2 linked regions of the Lepisosteus oculatus genome follow. The protein of the gene in region 1 purifies or fractionates together with the protein of each later gene. This does not show direct contact. Links are inferred from orthologs where the notes say so. Each region holds a gene or a part of one and is shown on either strand. Other genes may lie near its edges.

Region 1 (12,409 bases):
CCCATTGTACTGAGTTTCTTGACTAGTTTCTCTGGAATGATGGTTTTAAAAGCTGAGCTGAAGTCGATGAATAGTAGTCTTGCGTATGTGTTCTTTTTATCAAGATGGGATAGGGCAGTGTGTATGGCAATGGAGATTGCGTCATCTGTGGATCTGTTGGCCGGTAGGCACACTGGTACAGGTCCAGTGTGTCTAGAATGGTGTCCTTTATGTGCCCCATGACCACCCTCTCGACACACTTCATGATAACAGGGGTTAGTGCCACCGGGCGGTAGTCATTAAGGCATGTCACTGTGGTTTTCTTCGGTATTCGGATGATGGTGGTTGTCTTGAAGCAGGTGGGGACAGCTTGGGCCAGAGACATGTTGAAAATGCCTGTGAATAAATACACCTGCCAGTTGATTTGCGCAGGCTGTGAGGATGTGACTGGATATGCCGTCAGGTCCCGCAGCCTTGAATGTGTTCACTTTTAGCAGAGATCTCCTCACCTCATCTGCAGACAACGAGAGCACCTGGTCAGCTGCGGAGGGTGCAGCTCTGTTGACTGGTTCTGTGTTGCTGGCTTCAAACCAAGCATAAAATGTGTTGAGCTCGTTAGGCAGGGAGGCATAATGGGCAGATGCACAGATATTGATAGAAAATGGATGGATTTAAACAATGCTTTTAGCTTTATAGCAGGGTTTTTATACTCAATTCCTAGTTTTATACTGCTTTGTTCCAGCCATGTCTTCAATTGGTCTAATTATGTAATACAGTTCTGAAGTTATTAATTTTAACCAGGCTCTATGATGATTTATAGGTACCTGTGCCTTTAATGAAGTGAATGTCTTGTGCAATCAACTGTAAAATACCTTAAGAAAAATCTTTACCTATACATGCTTAATTCTTTTCTAAATTAGGTTGTTTAGTGGACTATACAGATTGGAACAATAAACAGAAGATCTGGGTTTGAGACCCATTTTATTGTGTTCTTGACCTCTGTTCCCAAGAGCCACCGCCCAGCACATATTGGTCTCTTGAAATCACTGGCTGGTTTAGAGGTGAGATAATTACATCGGTTTAGTTCATTGAATTACTAATCAAATTAGTATGTATGAAAGCTAAAAGACCCTCTGGCGCTCAAACAACTGGAATTTATGTTTGAGACATTACATTTTGGCCTGATTCTTGGCATGCTTGCCTGTTGTGTGCTTGTTTCGAAACTATTATTAGCTTTTCCATTTCCCCTGGCACTCTGCTGTCATTATTAATCCAATGTTTAAGAAACCCTGGTACTGGAGATGACTTTAGTTTGTAAATAACTTTGTGCAAAATGCTTCTAGTGCCATTATCTGAATTCATTTTATTTGAACAACACTTGCTTTCCACACAAAACAAAACATACAATCCGTGAAAGGGCTGCACACACTATTATTTTGGTGAATATATTACACAAAGACAAAAGCTGAAAGAGCAATGTCTTTATTCTTTAGTTATGCTGAAGATCAAACCTTAACAGACAAATAATATACTCAATTACAAAGTTAAACTACAATAATAAATAATTCTGCTAAAGTGATTCTGCCCACAGAGGACTTATCACAAAAAGAGAATGAGAACATGATTTATATCATTGGTCCTGTATGTCTCTTCAGCATTTGGTTGGGGTAAACAGACAGAACCTCTTCCAAACTATCCTCACAGAATTTTGGTAAAACTAGCTCCTTAATTTTAAAACCTAGTTCAATAATTAAGCAGACAGTTAAACAGCTGACTGTGCAAAAGCGGTACAGCTTTTTAAATTGTAAGGTCCAGTACTTGTGACTTTTCTTTGGGATTCATTATCCGAGTATTCAGGACTAAACCTGAATGTTTTGACCTACGTATTTACTCAACTGGTCAAAATATACACTGCTAATCTTCCACCCTTTATAATATAGGGATACACAAAAACCCACAAGGATGGGAGCTGTTGAGAAAAAGAGATGTCTCCAATGGTTATGGGATGAACAGATAATATTAAAAATGCAGGATATTTCTTGAGGGAAAAAAGCACAAACTGGAACAAAGTATAAAGCTTTACTGCTTATATAATGGGTTGCAGCACGGTTACTTAACAGCATGGGATTAGTTAAGATACACACAGCACATTCTGTGCAGGTCACAAATAGGTGATGGAGCAAATGAGACTTACTAATATTTCCTTTAACCATTTCACAGCAGGCATTATTAAGCTAACATTATTGCCCACGCCCAGAAATCAATTTATTGCTGACACTGCTGAATTCATTACGAGACCAAAAGGTGATATCAAAAGCTTCAACAGACTGCTGTACTGTGACACAGGAGCATGTGGAAACCCCCCCCTTCCAGGTCTCCGATCCTCTTTCACAAGAGTGGATATGCCTGTGCCACAAAATCCCCCAGTTCTGTTTGGCTCCCGGTGTGCCTCATTCCACTACTGCTTGGAGAAAAGGCATCTCTGGGCAGCGTCGGGTCCACCCTCACACCTCTAGACGTTAACTGGCTCTCGCTGGTTGTTCTGCCGTTTCACCACAAAGACCTTCTGCCCAGACACGGTCACCATGAAGACATGATCCTCAAACACCACTAGATAAAGACAGGAGAGGAGAAAAGGTAAAAACAAGACAAGACATATCTACAATTCCTAAACACATATCCCCACCTGCTGTTTGTATCAACAAACTTCACTGTGTGGGATTCCTAAACCTCTGGTAACCCTGTGTACTGTTCTATCCATTAGCATTACTATCAAATCTGCTGTACTGTTTTCTGGGAGAAATGATAGGCAGGATCGTTTCTTAATGCCTTTTAATTGGCAAATACTTGCGGGAGGGAAAAAAAATTCTAACATTCGAGGCAAAGCCGCCCAGCTCAATGAAAAAGACGAGTGAGTGTAACGCCAAACCTGACACAAGCTGAAATGGATGCTCAGTGTTTACCAGCACCGGTTAAGAGGTAGAGCACGTCTAAACTGACCTGACATGCGCTTGAAGGGGGGCTCTGTGCTGCCCTGCAGCTTAAACTTGCAGGCTGTCTGCACCATCTGCATGATCACCCCCGCCGCATGCTCGTCGTTCTCCATCTCACCGGCAGACTAGGGGGGAGAAAGTCTTAATTAGCCATACGGTGCTTGTAGGAGGTTACTGAAGGAGACAAACCAACCTGTGGCAGCTTTGCCCCACACTAGTGGAGGAAGTGGGCAAAAGGAATGCCAAGCTCAACCAGACAACACAACGATGTATGTTTAGGTCCCAGTGCACTAGCAGTAACAACACCCAAGATATTAAGGATTATGGAGTGTTCAGTCAGAATTTGGTTTAACCGGTCTGGCTGAGGGCTGACCTCTTATCCATAGGAAGAGGAGGCTGGGACCCCACACAGAGCGAGGAGTGACCAAGGGGCAGCTGCAGAGGTGGAGACGAGGTGGAGGTGGGATGCAAAAGATATAAGCAAGATCACATACAGTATTTAAGGTAAGATAAGATCACTTTATTATACATATACAATTTCTTGCATTATTAAATTGTGTATTCTTGTATATTTGCATAATCCAGCTTGCTCTCCATGAGACACACAGACAGGGAGAGAAGCTTGGGGTCAGCCATTGTATAGTGCCCCTGGAGCAGTTGGGGTTAAGGGCCTTGCTCAGGGGCCGAATAGAGTAGGATTCCTCTGCCGGCTACAGAATTTGAACCAGCAACCCTCTGGGCACAAGCTCAGATCCTTAGCTACAGTGCCACCACTCCGCCCCTTACAGTGTTTCAGGAGAGTAAGTGATGTCAGAGAGTAAGAGAGTAAGTCTGATTGACCTCAGTTGTCGTCATCCCTCCAGAATTGTTGTTATAAACTCAATTCAATTCTGGGCTTCTCCAGAAACTATTGGAATGATTATTATGATGAAGGAGACCCTCCTTTGTCTCCATAGCTCACTCCTTCCTGCACCTCCTGTCCTTCCTGTCTAAATCCCAGCCACCTTCTTTATTGTAAAAGTATGGTGTTTACTCACAGCAAGGACTCCATCTTCACTGATGACCAGGTAGCCCAGCTGGTCTGGGATTCTCTCCAGCCCTTGAGTCAAAGCTGTTGTCTGAAACACAGCAGAGACATCTTTCCTGTCAGTATTGTGATAACAGGGAAAAGGAGAACTTGACCCTTCAATGTTAATACAGGAGGCTGTCCTTGCCATAACAAAAATAGTCTTGTAACAACTTCTTTTCACATTTTTACAAAGCATTACGTTCTTAGTAGAATACCACGGACACTGTGGGGGACAGTTCAATTAAATCTATCTGGAGCTCAACATAAATCTCATTCCCTGTCGAAAACAAAAATGGTTTCCTAGAAACGTCTTTACCGTGTACCACAAGTTAGGGAAAACTACCTACAAAATAAAACCGTTTTTGATTAAACGTTACTCTACGAACGACATTTAGTCACATTATGTCCCGCAGAGGGAGAGGGCATTACCACGTGACTCTTTCAAAATAAAAAAGACCCACGTTCGGGAAGATATTTAACATTGTTGTTACGAAAATTTTCTTAACTTCCTTCATTTTCTTAAATTTTAAAGTTAAATCTATGCAGACATAATGGTTTGGGAAACTTGAATCCTGTTGTAAAGCTTACGAATCACACCTGTTACTTTACAGGCAAGAAGCTTACTTGCTATGACCAGATGCACTTACACAAAAAAACTACGATTTTAATAATTTCCTAGGTTAAATATGTTGTTCTTTAACTATGTGCATGTGATGGCGTCCCGCCCATCTTCTTGGACTCCTGAAAACTCAATGGCATTAACTACCGGGGAAAAAAAGAGGGTAGTTACTTTAAAGGCGTAGGAATCAAAGTAGGTTACAAAGCCTTCGGGAGGAAAGTAGTGTGTAGCCCTAACGCAATGTATCTATAAACACAAAAATATCTCAGAAGTGAATATTTCGTTTTTTTAAAAATACTATCCTTAAGAAAATACTTTACAAAAGATTAAGGGTCTGATAATTCTGGTGCACGATCCTTAACCAATTCATTCTGTCTTCAGCTAAACAGGCCTATGATCATGAGATAACAGCCCCCAAAGTTAAAGCACGTACTTTCGTTTAACCAGACCAGAGTGGATACTAATTGTCATATATAATCGCATTTGCAATAAAGACTATGTTTATCTTCTTCGGACAGTATTTTTAATAAAAGTCTGATATTTCATTACTTCTTATTATATATTTGGTATCATGTTCGTTTGTTATCAGCACAAAATAGTACAGAAACGCAAAATATTTATATTATTTTGAGTATTCATCCGTATTACTTTTCTTGTTTTAAAGGAATACTCACCATGTTCAATCAAAAGAAAAACATTCACAGCTCGACTCCGCTGTGATAATGATCATATGATCTTGTCACGTGTCGTCTGACTCGAAAAACGGTACTTCCTGAATTTGTAATGTTCATTGGACAACTTTGCTGTCAATCCACATTGAGCATTGAGACGCAGGTCTTATTTTTTATTGGTCAATTCTACGGCCAGTCCTCTCAATGCGGCCATTAAACTTAACCGTATAACTCCACGAAAATGAGCAATAGAAATACCCGTGTTCAAGAGTGCCGCTGTTCCGACCTCTCCAAATTTATAATGCACTTTTTCCAGAAATGCACAGTTTTAGTCTGTATTCAATCAGACTTTGGCTACAGTGTGAACAGAACTGGCTTTACAACTTGCGCATCTTATAACTGTCCATCAGGCTGGTCTTACTGATTCGAAGATACAGGATCATGCAGTAAATTACGTCAATAAAGATGAACGTCTTGTTTTCAGTTCTTAAAAATCAAACATCTTGTTCTGAAAGAGTTCTGGTTGAATGTAACTGGTCTCAACTCCAAAAAGTTGAGACTAATATCGAAGCATTTAGAAACATGAGTTGGTGGGTTAATACTACTGGCACAACCTCTAATGCTAATAATATCAAGGAAAGCCTTAAACTGGATTGCGGTATCCTGAACGAGAGATTATCCTGGCGCACTGATGCCTTTCAATTTTAAAATCTGAGAGAACACCCTGTGCTAACGGAAATGAAATATTCCAATTAGTGTTCATTATTTTATTTTTCCTCACAGCTATTCCCTTACTCTCTCTCGCCCCAAGGCCCTTCTGGACAATTCCAGATCACTCAGAAGACATCTTGTACCTCCAGCAACCTTATTTACTGCATCTCTTGCAGAAAATGCCCAGCTATCTACATTGGGGAAACAGGAAGGAGACTGGGAGACCGCTTCAGGGAACATGTCAGGGCTGTGAAGATCAAAGATATCTCCAAGAACATAGTTTCTCATTTTACTTCTCACGGCTGTGATCGTCACGGTCTCTCCATCTGCGTTCTCAAAGAAGGGTTTCGGAACTCCTATTGCAGGAAGACATCCAAAATCAAAATTATCCTGAATCTAGCATCATACGTTCCTCCTTCTCTCAGTTACAGACTCGTTTCCTTCTATTCCTCTCTATTCAGTTGCAGGTTTTGACTTCACGCCTCTCTTCACCTCTCTTGATTTCACACCACCTGGGTGTCCACTCCCGCCTCCTGTCCACTCTGGGCTTATGTTTTCCGATCCGTTCATTGTTTGCGTCACTCTTTACTCATCCCCACTGAGTGTCCATTATTATTATTATTATTATTATTATTATTATTATTATTATTATTATTAATGAACCATACACTTAATAAAACTCCTTTTGGGAAATCCAGTCCAATAGTTAGAATTTTAAGAATTTTATTTAAAGCCTCTCACTTAAACCATATAGCTAATTTTTAATACAATCTGTGATATTAACCAGCACGTATTTACCTTTATGTGTGCTGCTTTACAGTACTACTAAATCTCTGCTGACCTCCAGTGGACACAAAGCGCACATTTTTTTTCATTATTTGTACTGTTTATTTTTATTGCTTTAATAAAAAATCACAAAGCAGTAAAGTGCATAGATTGCAGTAGATTACAGAGACGTCCTGGGACCATACTTGGAACTGATACTGAAGCACAAGTACAATTACTTCATAAAGTACAGTAGCAGGATTGAGTACAAATATGAGTAGAGATTAAGAATTTTATGTTTTAGTATTGAAATGATGTCTTTCAAACAACTTTATACATAACATTAAATAACATTATAACAGATACATATTTTAGTGTACACTTAATATAAATGCACTTCATCTCATCATCTTCACTGCTACACATCAGAACACAAAACATTTTGTCATCACATTGACAGTCTATGCACCATTAAATGTATTACATTTCGAGACTCACATTTATTAGTACTAATAATACAACACTGTAAAATAATTTTATCTTTAATACATATCGCAATCCAAAATGACCTGAATCATATCCTATTGCATCTCACAATGTCTTAAAAGTCATGTCTTTTATATGAGGTTAAAGACATTTTCCATCTTTACTGCAGTAAGGTAGAAAGAAGACTGCACCACTCCAGAGTTTAGAGGCAAGCAGTTCTGTTGCTGTGTTGCCTATACTGTAAAGTGGGTCACTGTGATGTTGGGTTCAGGGCTATGGGACACATTTAAAGGCTATGGCTGGTGAACCTTATGCTGAAGTTTTCTGTAGGCTCACATACTGTAGATGTTCAGAGATGAATTCAGCCTTACCAATCAAACATTCCTTGACAGCTATAGTACTGTATATGCTGATCGGTTTGGCATGCATACTGTAGGTGATTCAGTGTATCGGCCAAATGGGTCAAGCCTTTTCACTCAGTGTTTGAACTTTGCAGATATCTTGTATTCAGAATGTTTTTCTTCATGGACATGGACATCATGGACATCTCCTGTCCAGACACTGCTGTTGTGTCCATGAGCAAGATACTTCCATTAAATTACTCTAGTATACGTACTGCTGTATAAATGAGTGCTCAAGACATCGCTGCAAATAAGTATTTGTTCTCATTTCCCTTACCTGTAAGAATAAAAGATTAAATATATCATATCTGGGGTGCTATCTACATGGGGAACACCTCTCTGTGTTTGTGTGGGTTTCCTTGAAGAGTCCTAAGATGAACCTGTAGGTTAATTCATTCCTGGGAAACTTGGTCCTGGAGTGAGTGTGTGCGTGTCTGTGTCTGTTTTTGTCGGCCCTGTGATGCTCTGGTGTCCTGTCCAAGATCTATCCTGCCCGCGCCCTTTTTATTGCCAGGATAGGCTCTGGCTCCCCTCCGACCCTGAACTGAAAGAAGGGATTAGGAAATGGATGGATGTTGACAGGAGCTACCATATTTACAACCCTCTCCGTGCTCAACAATGGGTACTGTTGTTATCTTCATACCTCACTGTACTGTGTGCATCAATGTAATCAGTCATGTACTAAAACAGTCCAGGTTATGAATGCAAGTGGGAATTGTATCATTATGTACGTGCTCATAGATTCCTCATATACAAAGGCGAAATATTATATATTAAGCAGCAAGCATAACATCACACTAATTATGCATGTATGTTTTTAATAAAAATAAAACATGGATTTCTGAAATTTGATTAATTGATCATTCATGACTATAATGCTGATGACTTTGTTGCATCAGCAGAGAAAGTTGAGTGGTGACAGGTGATGAAATTATTTATCCTATTGAATGTCAAGCCTGAAAACCAAGAAAAACACAGGAAGGAATTAATATGGTCCTGTTTATCAAGAGTGTCAATAATTCGGCACTGATTTCCTAAATAAAATATTTGTTGCACACTGTCTGGCAATTTAAGATAAGATAAGATAAGTCTTTGTTGATCCCGAAGGACAATTTGTCTAATTTAGAGTGTTTCTGAACTTTTCAGTCATGGCTCAGTTTAGAATAAAGGTGTGTTTGGTCTGGAGCCCAGTTATATAACAAAGAATATTACAAGCCCCGGTCCTCTGTGTCTTAATGTGTTTATGGAATTAATAACAGGGATTAGTGGATGTAGGTCAGAATAAGCAACCACAAAGGCAGTGAGAGAAGCAGCCCTATGTACATTTCTAGCTCTAATACACTAGAGCCTATTGGGGATTTGAACAGATTTGATTTTTATGTTGCTTTAATTATTTCAAAATGTGACGCAATAATGGTAAGTGATGCAATTTTTATATCATTTTAACAGTCATAAAGATTGTCAATATTCACTTTAGTGTGAAGATTCATGATCTTGTCTGCACTAGAAACAAGACTTTAAAGACATCAATTAATATTTTAACATAATTTAATGTAATACTTTTGCTTAGAATCTTTTTTCTAAGATGGTCTTTATGTATTTCAGGATTTATACACTTTATTGTCACAACTCTGCTGCTTAATGTTGCTGTTTGCTGTCCTGGGCATATACCTAATTCTACATTTCTTTAATATGTTCATTACCAGACGAACTTTTCGGTTGGCTGCACTCCGCCTTAATTGCTGTTCAGACAAAGCCTGTCCATTCACATCCGCCTGCACACCAGGAATGGCCCTGTGTATTCCTGGGCCCCGGCCCTCCTATTCCCAGGCCCGAGAGAACCTTGTCAAAACCATGCCCCCAAATCTTATCTGCGCTCTGACCTGCAGAGGAAAAGATTGTCGTTATGAGGGACCAGCAACCTGGACGTTGAGACAGCAGGCCATACGGGGTGTCTTTTCCACATGGTAGAATTCAATATGCTTATTTTCCTTCTTTATGATCAGTATCCACCTGATTTGTAATAATTAACTGGCCTTTCACTGTAGAAACGTTTGTGTAGTTATAATGGTAAACAGTGCTTTGCAGTTTTGTTGAGTTCATCGTAAATGTAGACAACTGTGTTAGTGACGCCAAACTTGTGCCCTGCTGAGTACTATGCATATAAATCAATAGGGGAGAATCACATTTCATTGATTTGCTTCCTCATTAAAGTCTCTGAGGAACAGCAAGATGTTCAAGGCACATGCCTGAGTGAGTAATTTCAGCTGTACAGTGCTTTTCTCTATTATTTTAAGAAACAGCTGGCATTACTTATTTCAGTACAGCTATCATCCTTTTACGATGGAAAAATAAATATTGATTTTGCATGTTACTATTTGTATAACCTTGGAACACTGAAATAAGCATTACAAAATGATCTAAAAAGACCTCTGTTGTATAGTAGTCATGGAATGTGGTTTCTGTTTGCCTTTAGGGTGACAGATGATATTCTAGCCATGGCAAGACCTTCTACGGCTCTAATTAAGAAGTATTACATTATAGATCAATTCCACAAGTAAGTTATCATAATATTGAAGAATTTTAATTTGCCTTGTTAAGCATGTCGCTGAATATTGTGCGAAGTTTCTTTTTTTACATTAGCTCATCAAGCTTTCTTCAAACTAGTTTTAAAAAAACAGATAACACAGGTAGCAGACTGTCACATTTAATTTTGGATGTGTAACAAATACACCCCTGCATATTACAGGGATCTCAGCCAGCCAGGTTGAGGGAGGTCTCCTTTAGCTCAGCTGGCAAGTTCCCTGTTGTGTGACGCTGGATCCGGGTTCGCGCCTAGGCAGTGAGGGATGATCTGGCAGGGCAGGAGCAGCAAGGGTGGAAAAGCAGAGAACTGTTACAGATGCAATGAGAACCCAGAGTCTGAGCATACGTTGTTTATAATGAAGAAAACGAAGGCCATCTTTAAGTGGCTGTTGATTTAGGTTAAAATTGTTGATTTACTGTGCTTAACCTTTATTGTAGCAGCTATGAAATCCCTGAATGGTTTTTCCAGTCTCTGGCATTAAATCTGCTCTTTTGGTATTGCTATTCCCATTAGGTTGAACATAAAATCCATCATCAATATGCAGGTGGCAGGGGAGCATGCTCACTGTGGATCACCATTGGAACGAGAGAGTGGCTTCTCTTATTTACCCCAAGTCTTCATGGATAATGGAAGTAAGTCAATTCAGTTTCGGATGGCTTGAAAGAAGTGGATAGGCAAGTTGATCTAAAAGAAAAACACCTTGAATTTATGTTCTGCAATTTTTGTAATGTTTTTGTCAAGCAAGTTAATCAAAATTTACAAACCATCAGGGTTAATAAATATATGTCTAATTTAGAAATACTTATTTTTCTTTCATGCTCACTGTGAATTTTTGTATGTGTTCAGAATGTTCCATACATTAGGATATGTCTTAAGATACAAGTACAATGAATATGAAGCTTTATTTATTATAACATATTTATTCTGACAAGTCTATAATAGAAAATAGTGGGGTATTTGTTATTAAGGAAATAGTTTGACTGTCTTTTTGGTACAGTAACTATGCTATAGAATAAGTAATTAAATTGCCAGTTTTCAGTTTTGGGTTCTTTTGCATGCAATCCAGGTTACAATTTTGCATGCAGGCACATGCATTTTAAACAAGTTTTAAACAAATTCTGTGGCAATAAGAGATATGCCCAAAAATGACAAGCTGTCAAGAGGATATGCAGCACGTTTAGTGAAAAAGTTTCACTTCTTTTGTTTCTCTCCCAAGTCTATTTCTTTAACTTCGGTATGCCAGATTTCGGCGTATCCTCCCTGATTCGAATACTGGATGGTGTGAAAGTGCTGGCATTTGCTGTGAAGGAGGGCAAGGTTGCTGTACATTGCCATGCAGGACTGGGAAGAACAGGTGAAGTTTTCAGTTGTTAAAAGAAATGATGGTTTATAATCAACAGTCCAGACAGAAAATCTCAAGGGAGTGTTTCGTTAAATGATCATGGATTGATAGTTTCAGAATGAACAGTGAATCAGGAACCATAGGGCACAAATGGGAACTAAGTAGAACCTAATTTAAAAACAAGAACAGGAGGAACGTCTTTAGCCAAAGGTCTGTGGGAGTATGAAACAAGCTACACTGCCATTTTGTTGGGGCTGATACCCTGGATTCTTTCAAGAAATGGCTGGATGAGATCATTGATCATTGGATAATTTAACTACTAGCTTCCAAACAGGCTACATGGGCTGAATATTATGGAACAAGTTCTTATGGTTAAACTCCAAAGAGCTTGTATTTTTCTGCTGTGTTCTATCACACGTTTGCTCCCAGAAAGGTGTAGTAGGTAGCGTTAGCTGTTGAGAGAATGTGATGCCAGGTGTCAATCTTGGAACTAAAGAACCCTGAAAAAGTGTTGCAAAGTTGGGATGAGGCAGGTAATGTAGTGGGTTAGTTTGGCTTAAGCAGTCTGTTGATGGTGGAGAACAGGTCTCTAAGATTGTTGTGGATATTCTCCATGATAAGGGAGAAGTAGCTGGATCTAGCAGGCTCTGCTGAATCCTTGTATTTGGTCAAGTGCTCCTTCCAAGATGGAAGATGTACATTCAAGCTAGAAAGACGCCACCTATGTTCTAGTGTGCAGGAGACTGCCTTGATTGAGCATAACTGGTCAGTAGACCATGGGGCACA
Region 2 (13,448 bases), on another chromosome or scaffold:
ATGTGCAGCCCCACCTGGATGATGCAATGGCAGCGATAGTACGCCAGAAAGCTTACCACACAGCAGCTATCAGTGGGAGGAGAATAGAGTGATGAAGCCAGTCATCATGAGGATTATATGTATGAGGATTATTAATAGGCCATGATTGGTAAAGGCTAATGGGAAATTTGGCCAGGATGCCAGGGTAACACTCCTACACTTTTTGAGAAATGACCTGGGATTTTTTAATGACCACAGAGAGTCAGGACCTCGGTTTTATGTCAACCGAAGGACTGCAGCTTTTTACAGTATAGTGCCCCCATCACTATACTGGGGCATTAGGACCCACACAGACCACAGGGTGAGCACCCCCTGTTGGCCCTGCCAACACCTCTTCCAGCAGCAACCTTAGTTTTTCCCAGGACGTCTCTCATCCAGGTACTGACCAAGCTCACACTCAATTGAAACCCTGGCATTATGGTGCCAGGAGAACAACCTCTCTCTGAACATCAGTAAGACTAAGGAGATGATTGTGGACTACAAGAAACATCAGGGTGGAGACCACACACCTATTCACATCAATGGGACTGCAGTGGAGAGGGTCAGCAGCTTTAAGTTCCTGGGAGTTAACATCTCAGAGGATTTAACCTGGACCCACCACACCAACATCGTGGTCAAGACAGCACGGCAGCGCCTGTTCTTTCTCCGCAGGCTAAAGAAGTTCGGCATGCCATCACATACCCAGGCCAACTTCTACAGGTGCACTATTGAGAGCATCCTGACTGGTTGCATCACTGCACGGTATGGGAGCTGCTCTGCACGGGATCGCAAAGTATTACGGAGGGTGGTGAAGTCAGCGCAGCTTATCACCAGCTGTGAGCTACCAAGCATCCAGGATATCTACTCAGCTAGATGTCTGAAGAAGACCAGGTCCATTCTCAAGGACCCCAGTCATCCGTCACAAACTGTTTTCCCTCCTACAGTCTGGTACAAAAGCATTCGGTCCAAGTTCAACAGACTACGGAACAGCTTCTACCTCCAGGCAATAAGACTGCTAAATGGCCAACCTGTAGCTCCTTAGCAAGTCACCTGTAATGGCTACATGGACACACAATTCTCACTATATTCAGCATAACTGCACTACATGTATATATTGCATACACCATGGACACATAACAGCTCTACACACATTGAGTTTTATTCAATTTCAAAAATGTAACCTCAATTTTGTGATTTTTGTGAATCTTTGTGATTCTTGTAATTTTTGTGAGCTCGCAGAAAAAGACATTTCATTGACAGCAACTACTGCTGCACGCCGTATTGTTGTGCATTTGATAAATAAACTTTGATTTGATTTGCTTAGCTTCAGTCGCCAGTTGTGAGTTGCAGAGTGATATGGCTGCCGGCGATAAATGATAATGATGTAAGTCAGGGAATCTCCTTTCCTCCAAAGTGGCGATTCTAATCTGTATGGGTAAGCAGCTAAAAAGTATCCGGCAATTATATATATATATTCGGTATATCTTCATATTCCACATTTACAGTACCTTTTAGACCTTGTGTCATGTGCATCCAAGTTGTTGTGATCTGCCTCCACGTGGTTCTCTCCAGCCCTCTCTGGGGCAAGCAGTGGCTTCACATCATCTTCCATTACTGTCGACGCTTAAAGAGCAGCACTGTTGCTACGCGTCATTACCTAGACAAAACAAAACTACAAAGAGTCACACTGTTGATCAGACCATAATCAACAGATGAACAGGAAAAGGCTACCATATACAGCTATATAGGAGCAATAAGAGTCTTTGCACTTAGTTGAGTACTTTGCATATTAACTCAAGGTTTTGACTCCAGACTTGATAAATATTATCTGTAAGTGTCAATCAAATATTATCTATACATTTTGTTTAATTCGTAATCCAAGCATCTATGATAACATATGAAATGAAGATTAAGGGGAGACTTGGTATTCCCATCATACAAACTTCCTACAGTAACAGTTTATGGAGAGAAGGAATTAGTAAGCCATTTACAAGAACAATCCAGGAATCTTTGACTCAGATCTCATAAAACACAATTTAAACAAGTCAGCTGAAATAAACTATTATTGGCACCATTCACTAGCTAGCAAAACTAAAAGGTCAACTAATTTTTTTAGTAACCAAGACATTCAAAAGCTGCTTATAGAAATGAATACAGAAACTGTTAAGTGCAAAAAAAACATTAAAAACAGAGAATTAAAAATAGTGGCAACTGTAATTGTAAGAGCTCAGAATGCAATGTCGTACACATTTAACAGAGCATTGAATGAATTAAAAGCCTGGTTTTCAGGCATCCAAAACTAGGAAAATAATATTTTGTGTAAGTTCGTGCAATAGGGTGCAAAATTGATTATATACATACCAGAAAGGTTCCGTACTTGAATTTGTCTGCTGGACAAGAAGGTACCACCGACCTCTCCTTTGGGGACGGAGAGGATAAAATTAACTCCATAAAGTGTTGCATTAGAAACTGCATAAGTAGATTAAAATGCTTGAAACCAGAAAAGGCTGGTCTTTCCACGAAAACTTGCAAATTAAATTTCTCGCAAAGATCTCCATAACTCTGAAATTACACACCCTTACAAAGGGTATATTTATTTAGCCTAATATATTTTTCTTATATGTCGACTTTCATTGCACCTCAGGATCAGAGCATAACCTTAGACTTTCAAGACCAGCAAAATCGAAGAATGAGATCAGGTGGGTCTTACGATATGGTCTAATTTGCAATGTTTAGAGACACAAACCAGCAGCACATTTCCTGTGTAATCTAAAATGTGCAGTATGATGCCCACAAAAGGAGAAGTAGAAATGATGTAGACAATGACAGGACTGAAAGAACACAGGCTACAAAAAATAAGCTGATCGTGCATTATCTTCAGTCTCACAACAGCTGAATCTTACATTTGAGGAAGCCAAGCCCCAAATAAGATTGTAGAGCAGAGGTCAGCAGTCTCGGTCCTGGAGATCCCCAGTCTAGACTTTACAAATCATGAACACCTGTAAGTTATTGATCAGGGCCAGCTCTTATATATAGTTGAACTAGATGGTCACCTACACCCCCATGTTAAATGGTGCGCCCCATTTGAGGAGACAATTAATTAAAAAAAAATCTATTTAAAAATGTCAAAAATTGCAAACAATATGCACTGCTACCCATGTTGTTGCAAAAGAGTAGGGACATTGTCTTTCAGGTTTCTAAATGTGAGTATGTTTAAGCATTAAACCTTAGCTACATTAGGGTGTATAATAAACTTTTCTACTTGTCCTACATGTAAGAAATAAGGGGCAAAATATGCTTGTGTCATTTAACTGTCAGTACATATTTGTTAATATTGTTATGGCTTAAGAGGTTGTAAAATTAAAAAACAATAGGAAGAAACGGAGTTGTTTACCTAGCTGTGGGTGGGCTGTAAAAGACAGAGGATCAAAATAAATCTACTCTGGTTAATTAAAATTGAAGAATACACATTTAACACACAGACAGACATCATAAGAAGGCAGGAAAGAAAGGTCAGGGAACAGTGATGAAGAGAGAGACAGGGAATTAACAGAAGGAAACAGAAGCACTAGGTGAGTGGAATTTGGTCTTGGGTCTTGTGAAGGGTTTTTAGAACAGGTAGATTGAGTCTCTTTGACTTTTGGACTTCCAGGATTATAGGAAAAACTGAGTTGAACTGAGTTGGTTTCTGTGAATATAGAACACCAGGCCTGATTTTTGGCCTGATTGGGCATTATACACTGTCTGATTTCAGGTTACAGGGATTCTGGGTTTCTGGGTCTGTAGAGCTTATGCTTGTTTTGGAAACTTTTATATTGGATGTAAGGCAATTTGTTGTTTAGCTATTGTTATAATAAATAACTTCAACTGAAGCCTGTCCGCTATGAACTAGAAAACTTGTCCGATGCCCTAATTGAAATTTCTGATGATACCATCTGTACTTGAACTATGCGGCAACATTGCCCGTTCAAATGCAAAAGTTCTTGTAATGGCCTTCCGATTTGTTTTTTACGACTAATTTTCATGGGTCTATACATTATTTTAAAACTAACCGGTTTAAGTAACTAGAAGGGAGTCTCTCACTGGAAAATGGAAGTTTGCAAAACCTATGGTTAAAACAAAATATTTTATTTTGTAAATACACACTTTTCATATTTAGATTTGGTGATAATAGCCATTAAAGCGCACAGATGATTTTAGATTGGTAAATAAAAAACTCTTTATTCGAATTAGGACTAAAACATGATCCACCTGTTGTGTACAAATCTCCTGCAAACAGCAGGTCTTCAGGGAGGTTTCAATCAGTGTGTTTGTACATGAACAAGCCAAGAAATACAGGAAGCGGCATAATGGGAAGGTGAATTAGATGCCTCTGCTCCAAGTTCAATTTTCAAAAATGAGGAACTCAGCATCTCTTCATTGAAATAAGGCAGGATTTTACATGATTATCTCTTCTAAAATATCATTACATAAAAATGATATTTAAAAATAAAAATTCTGAAATATCATTACATGTCACCAATGGCCACTTATAGTATTCAGTATTGACTCAGCTGTTTTAGTTATTCATTAAATATTTATAAATGAATCCACTACTACAAACCTTCTGTAGAACAACCTAGCTTATTAGAAAGGAGATTCCATTTCTTCCTAAGAAAAGTGATTAAATGTATGCAACTTCTGTACCACAAGGCACAGATAAGCATTTCAAATTCTCATTTTTGGTGTTGACCTGTTTTTTCACATAACAGATGTCATGATACATACATATATTTACACATTTAAATCCAAAGAGACCAGGGTAATTTTAAAAGTCGCATATTAGAATATATTTAACCCTAAGAGAACAGGTTGTGTTTGACATGCCAATGTACCCAAATCGAAATCCCTAGTGCTGATACAACAAATCCTATTCTATTTGAAATTCTATTCTAGTATGAAATAAATTCTCTTCAGCCTATGAGAGGCATTTTTTTCATTTTCTCTGTAGGATGTTTTTTTTGTGGGAGCTGACATGCCTTACATAACTGCGGGTTTTACTGCTATTTTTAATCCATTCAATTTGACAAGTATGCAGATATTTTCATTTTCTGTTACACAGGGAACTGTGGAAAGTCAACAATTGATAAAGGAAGCTACAAGGCAGCTTTCAGTCTTTCAGTAGTTAAAACGCCAACTAGCTGTAATCAATACATATAGCACAGGGTTCTAGAGAGGGATCACAGGGCCATGGTTAGGAGTTACACAGAACACAAACAACTAGAGAATTATACGTACTGGCTAAGTATACCGTCGTGATAATAACTGTAACGGAGGCACCTCTTCATAAAACCTCGAAATAAATATCTGTGCACTTTCCTGCAATAGAATAGACTGTAAGGAATTACGGCAGCTCTCATCGTTGACTATTCACACTACCCTGATGTGGAATAATTGATGGGGAAAAAAACAAGTAATTCCCGTCTGAGCTGCCGGATTTGTTTTGACCGCAACCTTGATAAAAACATTAATATCGTGTAGTTAAAACAATTTGTTCAGTTTGTAAGGGCAGCAACAGCTGCTCGTCCTTTCCAAGAAACGACAAGGGTGCCAGAATTCACAGGGGCTTTTTAAAAATTCCAGAACGGGAGAGATGTTCAGAGTCTTATTCTTGGCTTTGCTTTGCAATTGCTCTGCTTCGAAAATTACGTATAAATATCCATTTCAGAATGCCGCGTATCCTAAGTTATCATATACCGAGCCACAAATACAAGAATACTACCTAATACAAGAGTAAAAAGAAGCATAACCCCTCACATTTCAACGTTTGATGCTTTCTATACAGAGCGATATATATATATATCGGGATTACAAATCGGACATCCTTAAATTGAACTGTATGCAGCACATAAAATGAAATTCATGGAATACACATTTCACAATATAGGTAAACCACATCCATTTCACACATTTTATCTGAAAACGTTAGCTTTAACTAGCTCGTACGTTTATCGAGGTGCTATAAAGTAAAATACGTCTACACCTTTTCCTAAATTGTACTCAACTGACTCGTTTTAAAAACAATATAACTATTATGACCAGTACCGTAAAGTTAACCGAGAAATCAATTACTGGGTGAACAACTAATTTAAACTGTTAATACCAATATAATCCTTATGATTGCAAACTAGAAACCATAAAACAGCCCTGCTCTTTTATAAGAGCTATTAATCAACTTTAAAAAACCCGTTTAAACTTACATTAAAAACCAAAGACACCAGACACCAAACACCAACCCCCGGACCTCACGGTTCGAGCAGCGTTTTAAAAACAGGAAACAATGCGAACGTGCATTGCACATGCTTAGCTGTCGCAATGCCTTATAGGGTCTGTAGTGTTTTAGAAGGGACAGGTATTGGGCATACTCTCAACTCAACTACACTACCCAGAATGCCTACAGTTCAGTCAGCTGAGTTTGATACCTGGCTGTGTAGACAGTCCAAGAGATGAGAAAGAATTCGTGAGTCTCACCTGACTGAAGAGAAATGTGATTATTTCGTGCACAATAATGTATTCACATCTATGTTTAATTCAGAATATAAATGATTTAGTTTTTACTGTTTTTAAATGAAGAGGGGTATTGTCATTGTCATGTTTGTCATTGTTCGTTTTTATGTTTATATATGTCCTATGTATGTTTGGGACCTGAAAAAGGCAAAACGCTGTCTCTTTTTCTTTTCATTTCAGCATGGAATAAACCTTTACCTGTTCCTATGTTTGTCATGATTCTTAGGCCATAAAGCTTTCCTAAAAGAACACGACCAAATAACAAGAACATATCCTAAACAGGGCACAGCTTGCACTACCCAAACAATACAGAACCTAATAAGAAAATAATTCAAACGGTATAGTATAAAGACAAACATGTACAACATCTGAATGCTTAATAAAAGCAAAATGTACATGAATATTGAAGCTGCCTTGGGCTCATAAGATGGTCGACATGATAGGATCTTATGTAAATGATAACAAGGCAATTGTTGTTTGAGACATTTGCAAGAAGCATTGAGCGCTCAGTAGCACACATAATACACAACAGAATTAAAAGCAAAGTGAAATAAACAAGTAAAAAGGTCAGATTTAGCAGGTAAAGTATAAAGTTATGTGCTAGACTATATTCAAGCAGAAAGTGCTTTAAATAATCAAGAGCTAAAGCACTTAATGCCTTATACGTGAGCAGAAGAAATTTAGGGTACAGTTTAAAATGTACAATGCACTGATAAGCTCTCGTAGAATAGTGTGAGCTGAGAGCTTTGGATCATACTGAATTGTTTATCAATAATAATAATTGCTTACGCTTATATAGCACTTTTTTGGACACTCCACTCAAAAGCACTTTACAGGTTATGGGGACTCCCCGTCACCACCAATGTGCAGCCCCACCAGGATGATACAACAGCAGCCATAGTGCACCAGTACACTCACCACACATCAGCTATCATTAAGGAGGAGATCAGAGTGATGAACCCAATTCATAGACAGGGATTAATAGGAGGCCATGAATGGCAATATGGCTGCACAGACAGTTCACTGATATTGTTGAAGCTGATATATTGACTCCTTTTAGGAAAGAGCTGGCTGAGAGCTTTGGATCAATTAACTACTGAAAGAAAAAGAGCTAGAGGAGTTGGGCATAACAGCCTTATGTTCTAATACAAAGAAGGACAAACATGAAGCCCGTGTGTATGCAGATCTTAACAGAGCACCAGAACATCCAGAACTAGAACCAGTTATTAAACCTTTCCCAATAAGCCAGAAATGAGTTTTCCCTTTTTCTTGCCAATGTGTAGGTCTCTGGAGGATACTCCAAATCATGTTTTCCAAATTCTGGTCTTGGATGCCCACGTACCTGTGAGATTGTGACCTATTATTGACCTAATAGTGAGATTCTATTTAAAAGTGAAAAATCTTAAATTAGTTATGAAACACAAGTTAAAAGGTAACCTCCAAAATGCTTGCTTAGCTTCACAAGTCTTGGTTTCTAAAATACCCTTAATTTCATGTGTCAACTTTTACATGATTACCTTTAAGCAGCGTCTCCCCAACTTGTTTTCAGAGTTTGCTTCTTAACCGCTCTTAATAGGTGTAATAGGTGAACAGACACAGGTGGGACTGACAAAGTATCACACATTCCCACCCTGAATGCTTTTTGAACCTCACGAACCTCCGGAGATTCCAGTTGATTACGTTTCAGTTAACACGACGGAATCAGTGCGGTTCTGAGCCTCAGTAAGTGGTATACGGTTGTAACCCATTTCGTACCTCAGTTAACCTTTAAGGGCCTCTTAGCATAAAAATGTATCAAAACGCCCATCAGCTGTAAAAAGGAACAAAGAACCGATGAAGAATCGGGAGCAAGGTGCAGATAGACGCGCTGACTTCAAGAAATTGACTCGTGTGTCGTGACGTCACGGTGCCGAGCGGGGAGAAGGACGCGCGCGATCCTGCCCACGTGTTTCGTTCCAGCTGATAACCGGGCTCGGAGCTGAAACGCGGCTTCTTTCGAGACCGAGTGGAAGCGGGACTGGGGGACATTGGCGCGGAGCTATTTGCTTTGAAGTCAATCTCTTTCGTTAAAATAACGACGTAAATAAAATCAGTAATCCGTAAGTAATGTGCAACCGAGTATGTAGTTCCGTTTTCTTTAAATCGTACCTTTCCGCATGGTGAATGTTTTAGTGTAGTTGTATGTCTTTGTACTTTTTCCGTTTCCCTTCTATGTTGGCGTCAGGTGTAATTCTTGTCATTTTAAAATATTGAATTGCCCTTTCGTCTTTATTACAAGCACTTTGAGGCCGATATATATATATATACGCGCTATGCAAAATGGTGAATGGGTTTTATTTGCAAATGATTAACTGTTCCAACGCTTTGTCGTTTTTTCTTAAATACACAACTTAAATGGTGATTTTAGTATTGCAGTTGAGTTTGCTCGCAAGTCGGGCCTGCTCAGCCTTGGCTTTTTTGGCGCCTCGTTTGGGAGGAAACGTTTTCCCGGGAGTTTCTACGACACCCTTAGGTTAGATGTTATTTGGTGTGTGAAGTATTTTGCGAAGCGATTTCAGACTAATTCTGAATTAAAGGAGCTATAGTTAAATTGTGTAGTTAGGCTTGATGTATTAGATTTGGTTTTCCCCGCCTTTCTAAGGGTTTTGCTGATTGGAAGCAGGTGTGTGTTCTCGTATAACGAGAATATTTGAAGCGACTTAAAAAAAAAACCGACCAACGTATCCCAGTAAGAAGAGATGCACTGAGATGTTGAATGATAATTTAATTTGCCCCAAGCGAGCAGCGGAAAGGAAAATCATCCCGCCTTCCCTCCAATTGATCGAAAGCCTGCTGTACGTTCGCACCTTCGGTGATGGCCATGCTTGTGTTAATTGCTCGTTAAGTAAATTAAAACGATAGAAGACAAAAGGCGCCGCGTCTGGAGCTTAATTTTGACTCGGTGCGAAGACACTTTTGCAGTACTTACTCCTCAAGTAGTAGCCCAGATACAATCAGGAGAGGGTGCTGAGAGAATTGCAGGTGAACAGATGCACCATGAGCACTGTTTCCCGTTGGACTGAGGATGAAACTTTTGAGGATCCCTGATTCAAAACCAATTTCCTGAACTCCTCTGTTTCACCTCGACTCTGCACCGTGATGGCCGTCTTCGTTCCTTTTGCGTTCTTATTTTATCCGTAAAAATAAACGATCTTATATGGCGCCTTTAAAAGTAGCTTCTCGAAACAACGAGAGGGGATATGAATCTGATGTTTTGCTTTGGCAGAGCTGTGTGAGCCGGTTCTCTTGCAATCTTCCAAAAACATGTAATGCGCGATTGTCCTCATTCTCGGCAGTCGGTTTCATTCCTGTCTTTCAATCGGGGCGATCTCGAGGCTCTTTGCATGCATTGTACACAACAAAAATGTGTAGAAGTCGGAAAAAGAAATTCCAAAAAGTGCATCAATTATGAAAGTAAAAGAATTGTTAGGTGTCGAAGGCCATCGAGAGCAAGTCAGCCTTCAGGCGAGATTTAAAAATATCAGTGTGAGGGTGTGTTTTTGATCTGGTCGGGAATTGTGCCCCAAAGATGGGGAGGGGGTGGGTGGGCTACTGCTGAAAAGGTTCAGTCCCCCCTAACGAATGATGTGAAGGTCTAATAATACTAGTATTTATGGATTTTATTTATTTGGTTTATGAAGCACCTTTCCAAAACTCAAGGTTGCTGTACATGGTGATAGAACGAAGAGGAGGAGCTTAAAAGCCAGCCAAAGAGCTCGTACATGTGTAATACACGAGTGTTTGATTTTCCTGAATGTGAATGATTGCTTTAAGTGGATGTTATCTATTGCAATGTAAAGGTGTTTTGATTTCTTTTCTAGCACTTACCCTGAGAAAACATGGAAGACTGGGAGGACAACGTGGTAAGTGATCTTAATGACAGAATCAGAATCGTATGTTGCATAGACAAGAAATTCAGATCTGGTGACTTGGTGCGAAAACATAAAATAAAAACAATATACGCAGAGGTCCACAGGTGTGTGTGTGTATATATATATAAGGTGGGTAGCTGCGTCAGCATGCGTAGGCTGCAAAGGAACAAGTAATAGGTTTATTCCATGCTGAAAAAAAGAAGAAAGAGAACACAACGTTTCGGCCGTGGAGCCTTCTTCAGGTGTGTAGGGCTTCACACCTGAAGAAGGCTCCACGGCCGAAACGTTGTGTTCTCTTTCTTCTTTTTTTCAGCATGGAATAAACCTATTACTTGTTCCTATATATATATATAATATGTGCACAGGTAGTGTCTGCCTGAGGTACGTTTTTTTAAACGGATGGTGTCCTGGATGAGAGGAGTCAAACTCCACTCTTTTGAGTCTGTTGACCTGGAGGTTGTTGACACAGACATTCACTTCCCTTTTGTTCACGTTTTAGTCTCCTTTACTGATAAGAGCCACCGGGGAGTGTCACCTGCAGACTTGAGTCTGATGGAGGTACAGTCGTTGGTATACAGGGAGTCAAGTAATGAGGAGAGCAGCAGTGCACCTCAAGGCTCACAGATGAGCAGTCTGATAAATAAGAGCCTATCCACACATTACCTTTTTATTTGTGAAGGAGGTGATCCACTGGCAGGTGGGGAGGGAAACATTCAACATTCAGGTGGGACAGTTTATTGTGGAGGAGTGCTGGGATGAGGGTGTTGAATGCACAGCTCAGATCAACAAAAAGGAGTAGCGTACTCCTGAAGTTTCCAGATGTTGCAGGATATAGTGGAAGCGAATATTAACAGCATCACGCACTGACTTAGTGTCTCTGTAGACAAGTTGTGGGTCAAGATATGAAGCTGGTTGTTTTGATTGTATCGGAGTATCAAGAGCTCAAAAGGTTTTCATTATGACCGATGGAAGTGAAACTGATCTGTAGTCATTAAAACAGGTTATTCTGTCCTTCTTCTGAACTGCGGTGATGATAGAGGATTTGAAGCAGGCAGGGAACCTGCACTGGTCCGAGGACACACAGCAGGAAAAGCCGAGCAGCACAGTGCTTCAAAGTAGCTGAGAAACCAAATCGGCACCAGCAGTTCCTGCATTTACGTGTGCAAGGAGCTTAAGGCTTCATGTTCTTCAAAAATCAGGGGAAAGACATAAATTGAAGATAGTTCCTGGATGTTTCGGGGAGAGGGATTAGGAGAGTGAAGGAGTCGGGTGTTAGAGATTAAAGGAGATAACTGGTTGCATGACCCATTGTTGGAAAGTTTTACTTATCAAATCTGCTGTAAAATGTGGTTCAGATTGTAAGGTAGAGACTACATTGTATATTGATTTACATGTAGTTAAAATTTTAAATGCTTTCAAGAGTGCAAAAACATACTTTTTCTCTTTTAAACAGTTTTCTAGTACCATTGTGCTTTAAACTAATATTTTTGCTGCAGTTTTGGGTTTTGAGTATGAACCTTCAAATGCCGTTCTTTCATAACTTTAACCTTTCAGGTGGAAATCTTGGAATAATTAAGGCAAACCCCATGTATAATCTAGGCTGAGGATCAGCCTTGGTTTTTTGGAATTTATTTTGGGGTGCACAATACATTGGGGTGTATAATAAGTTTTCCATTTTCAAAACTTTAACTTGGCTTCGGCAGAAGACCCATTAGATATAAAGGCCTCCTTATATCAAGGGCTAAAAAAGATTCAATCACTGAAATTAAATTGAGTGATTTGAAGCAGCTTTAGGTTTGATTTAAAAATTTAATTTGACAGTTGTCATTTAAATGCAAGAACTTTCCATCTTAAAAACCAGGGACAGCTACCTAAAGGTATCAGAAAGTTGACTTAATTCAATTTAAGGTGTTAAGTGTTTTGTCCAGCTGTAAACTGTAATAAATAATAGTAATGAATAGTATGAAAGGTTGCTTATGATCTGCTGTCTCTTTGCAGGACCCCATGCCCCAGAGTGCTTACAATGCATTGACAAATGGTAGGTAACTGCAGACAATCAATGAAGGAAATTGTACAGGAAAGTGACTGGTGTTCCTGCTGTTAAACAACTACCAAAAAGTATAAATTAGTAACTTGGGAGATTTGCAGCAATAAAAGCCTGAAATTCACAACCCACTGAAGCTCAGCAGGTGTGAGCCTGGTCAATACCTGGATGGGAAACCTCCTGGGAAAACTAAGGTTACTGCTAGAAGAGGTGTTAGTGGGGCCAGTAGGGGGCACTCACCCTGCTTGTGTGGGTCCTAATGCCCCAGTATAGTGATGGGGCATTAGGCACTATACTGTGAAAAGGCGCTGGATGAGATGTAAAACTGAGGTCCTGACTCTCTGTGGTCATTAAAAATCCCGGGGAGTAGGGGTGTAACCCTGGCATCCTGGCCAAGTTTCCCTCTGGCCTTGACCAGTCATGGTCTCCTAATAATAATTCCTGTCTCTGAATTGGTTTAGTCACCCTGTTCGTCTCCACACTAATAGCTGATGTGTGGTGACCGTTCTGGTGCATTATGGCTGCCATCGCATCATCCAGGTGGATTACCCGTAAAGCGCTTTGAGTGGAGTGTCCAGAAAAGAGCGTATATACGTGTAAGGAATGATTTAGACTAATTTGAGTTTGAGATCGTGAATGGATTTCACTGAAGTGGAAAACAAAGTACATGTGAGACGTTCAAAATTTGTCCCTTTGCAGGTTTGACGTCTGCATCTTTAGAACCCCTTAACTCAGTTTTGTACAGCCTACGTTGCTTGCTAACTTTCATTCTGTGATCAATGTACATGGGCCATGTCCCTTTCCCAAAGAATGGATTTTACATTGGGAGTTGAAAAGTAGTTTTTAAGCAGAATTTCTAATAGGACATGTTTGTCAATATCCCCCATTGTCTTTCAGCTATGTCCAAACCTCCTTAAGGTTTAACAGTT

The links.
Region 2: the proteins of lamtor4 (region 1) and slc38a9 purify together in Homo sapiens (affinity purification with mass spectrometry; 4 studies listed by BioGRID and IntAct, with this or other methods). This does not show direct contact. The link is inferred for Lepisosteus oculatus from reciprocal best matches to the Homo sapiens genes LAMTOR4 and SLC38A9.

The regions. Positions count from the first base shown.
Region 1 is NC_090702.1:13,157,454-13,169,862, forward strand, and holds lamtor4 (ragulator complex protein LAMTOR4), read right to left. Parts: upstream 5,443-12,409; 5' UTR 5,338-5,442; coding exon 5,335-5,337; intron 4,091-5,334; coding exon 4,010-4,090; intron 3,098-4,009; coding exon 2,980-3,097; intron 2,590-2,979; coding exon 2,492-2,589; 3' UTR 1,323-2,491; downstream 1-1,322. Other genes in the region: protein tyrosine phosphatase domain-containing protein 1, read left to right, coding at 9,483-9,661, 10,171-10,251, 10,795-10,913, 11,498-11,635. UniProt on the Homo sapiens protein: As part of the Ragulator complex it is involved in amino acid sensing and activation of mTORC1, a signaling complex promoting cell growth in response to growth factors, energy levels, and amino acids.
Region 2 is NC_090698.1:26,533,576-26,547,023, reverse strand, and holds the start of slc38a9 (neutral amino acid transporter 9), read right to left. Parts: upstream 6,345-13,448; 5' UTR 6,258-6,344; intron 2,437-6,257; 5' UTR 2,380-2,436; intron 1,691-2,379; 5' UTR 1,631-1,690; coding exon 1,527-1,630; intron 1-1,526. Other genes in the region: probable ATP-dependent RNA helicase DDX4, read left to right, coding at 10,443-10,466, 12,474-12,513.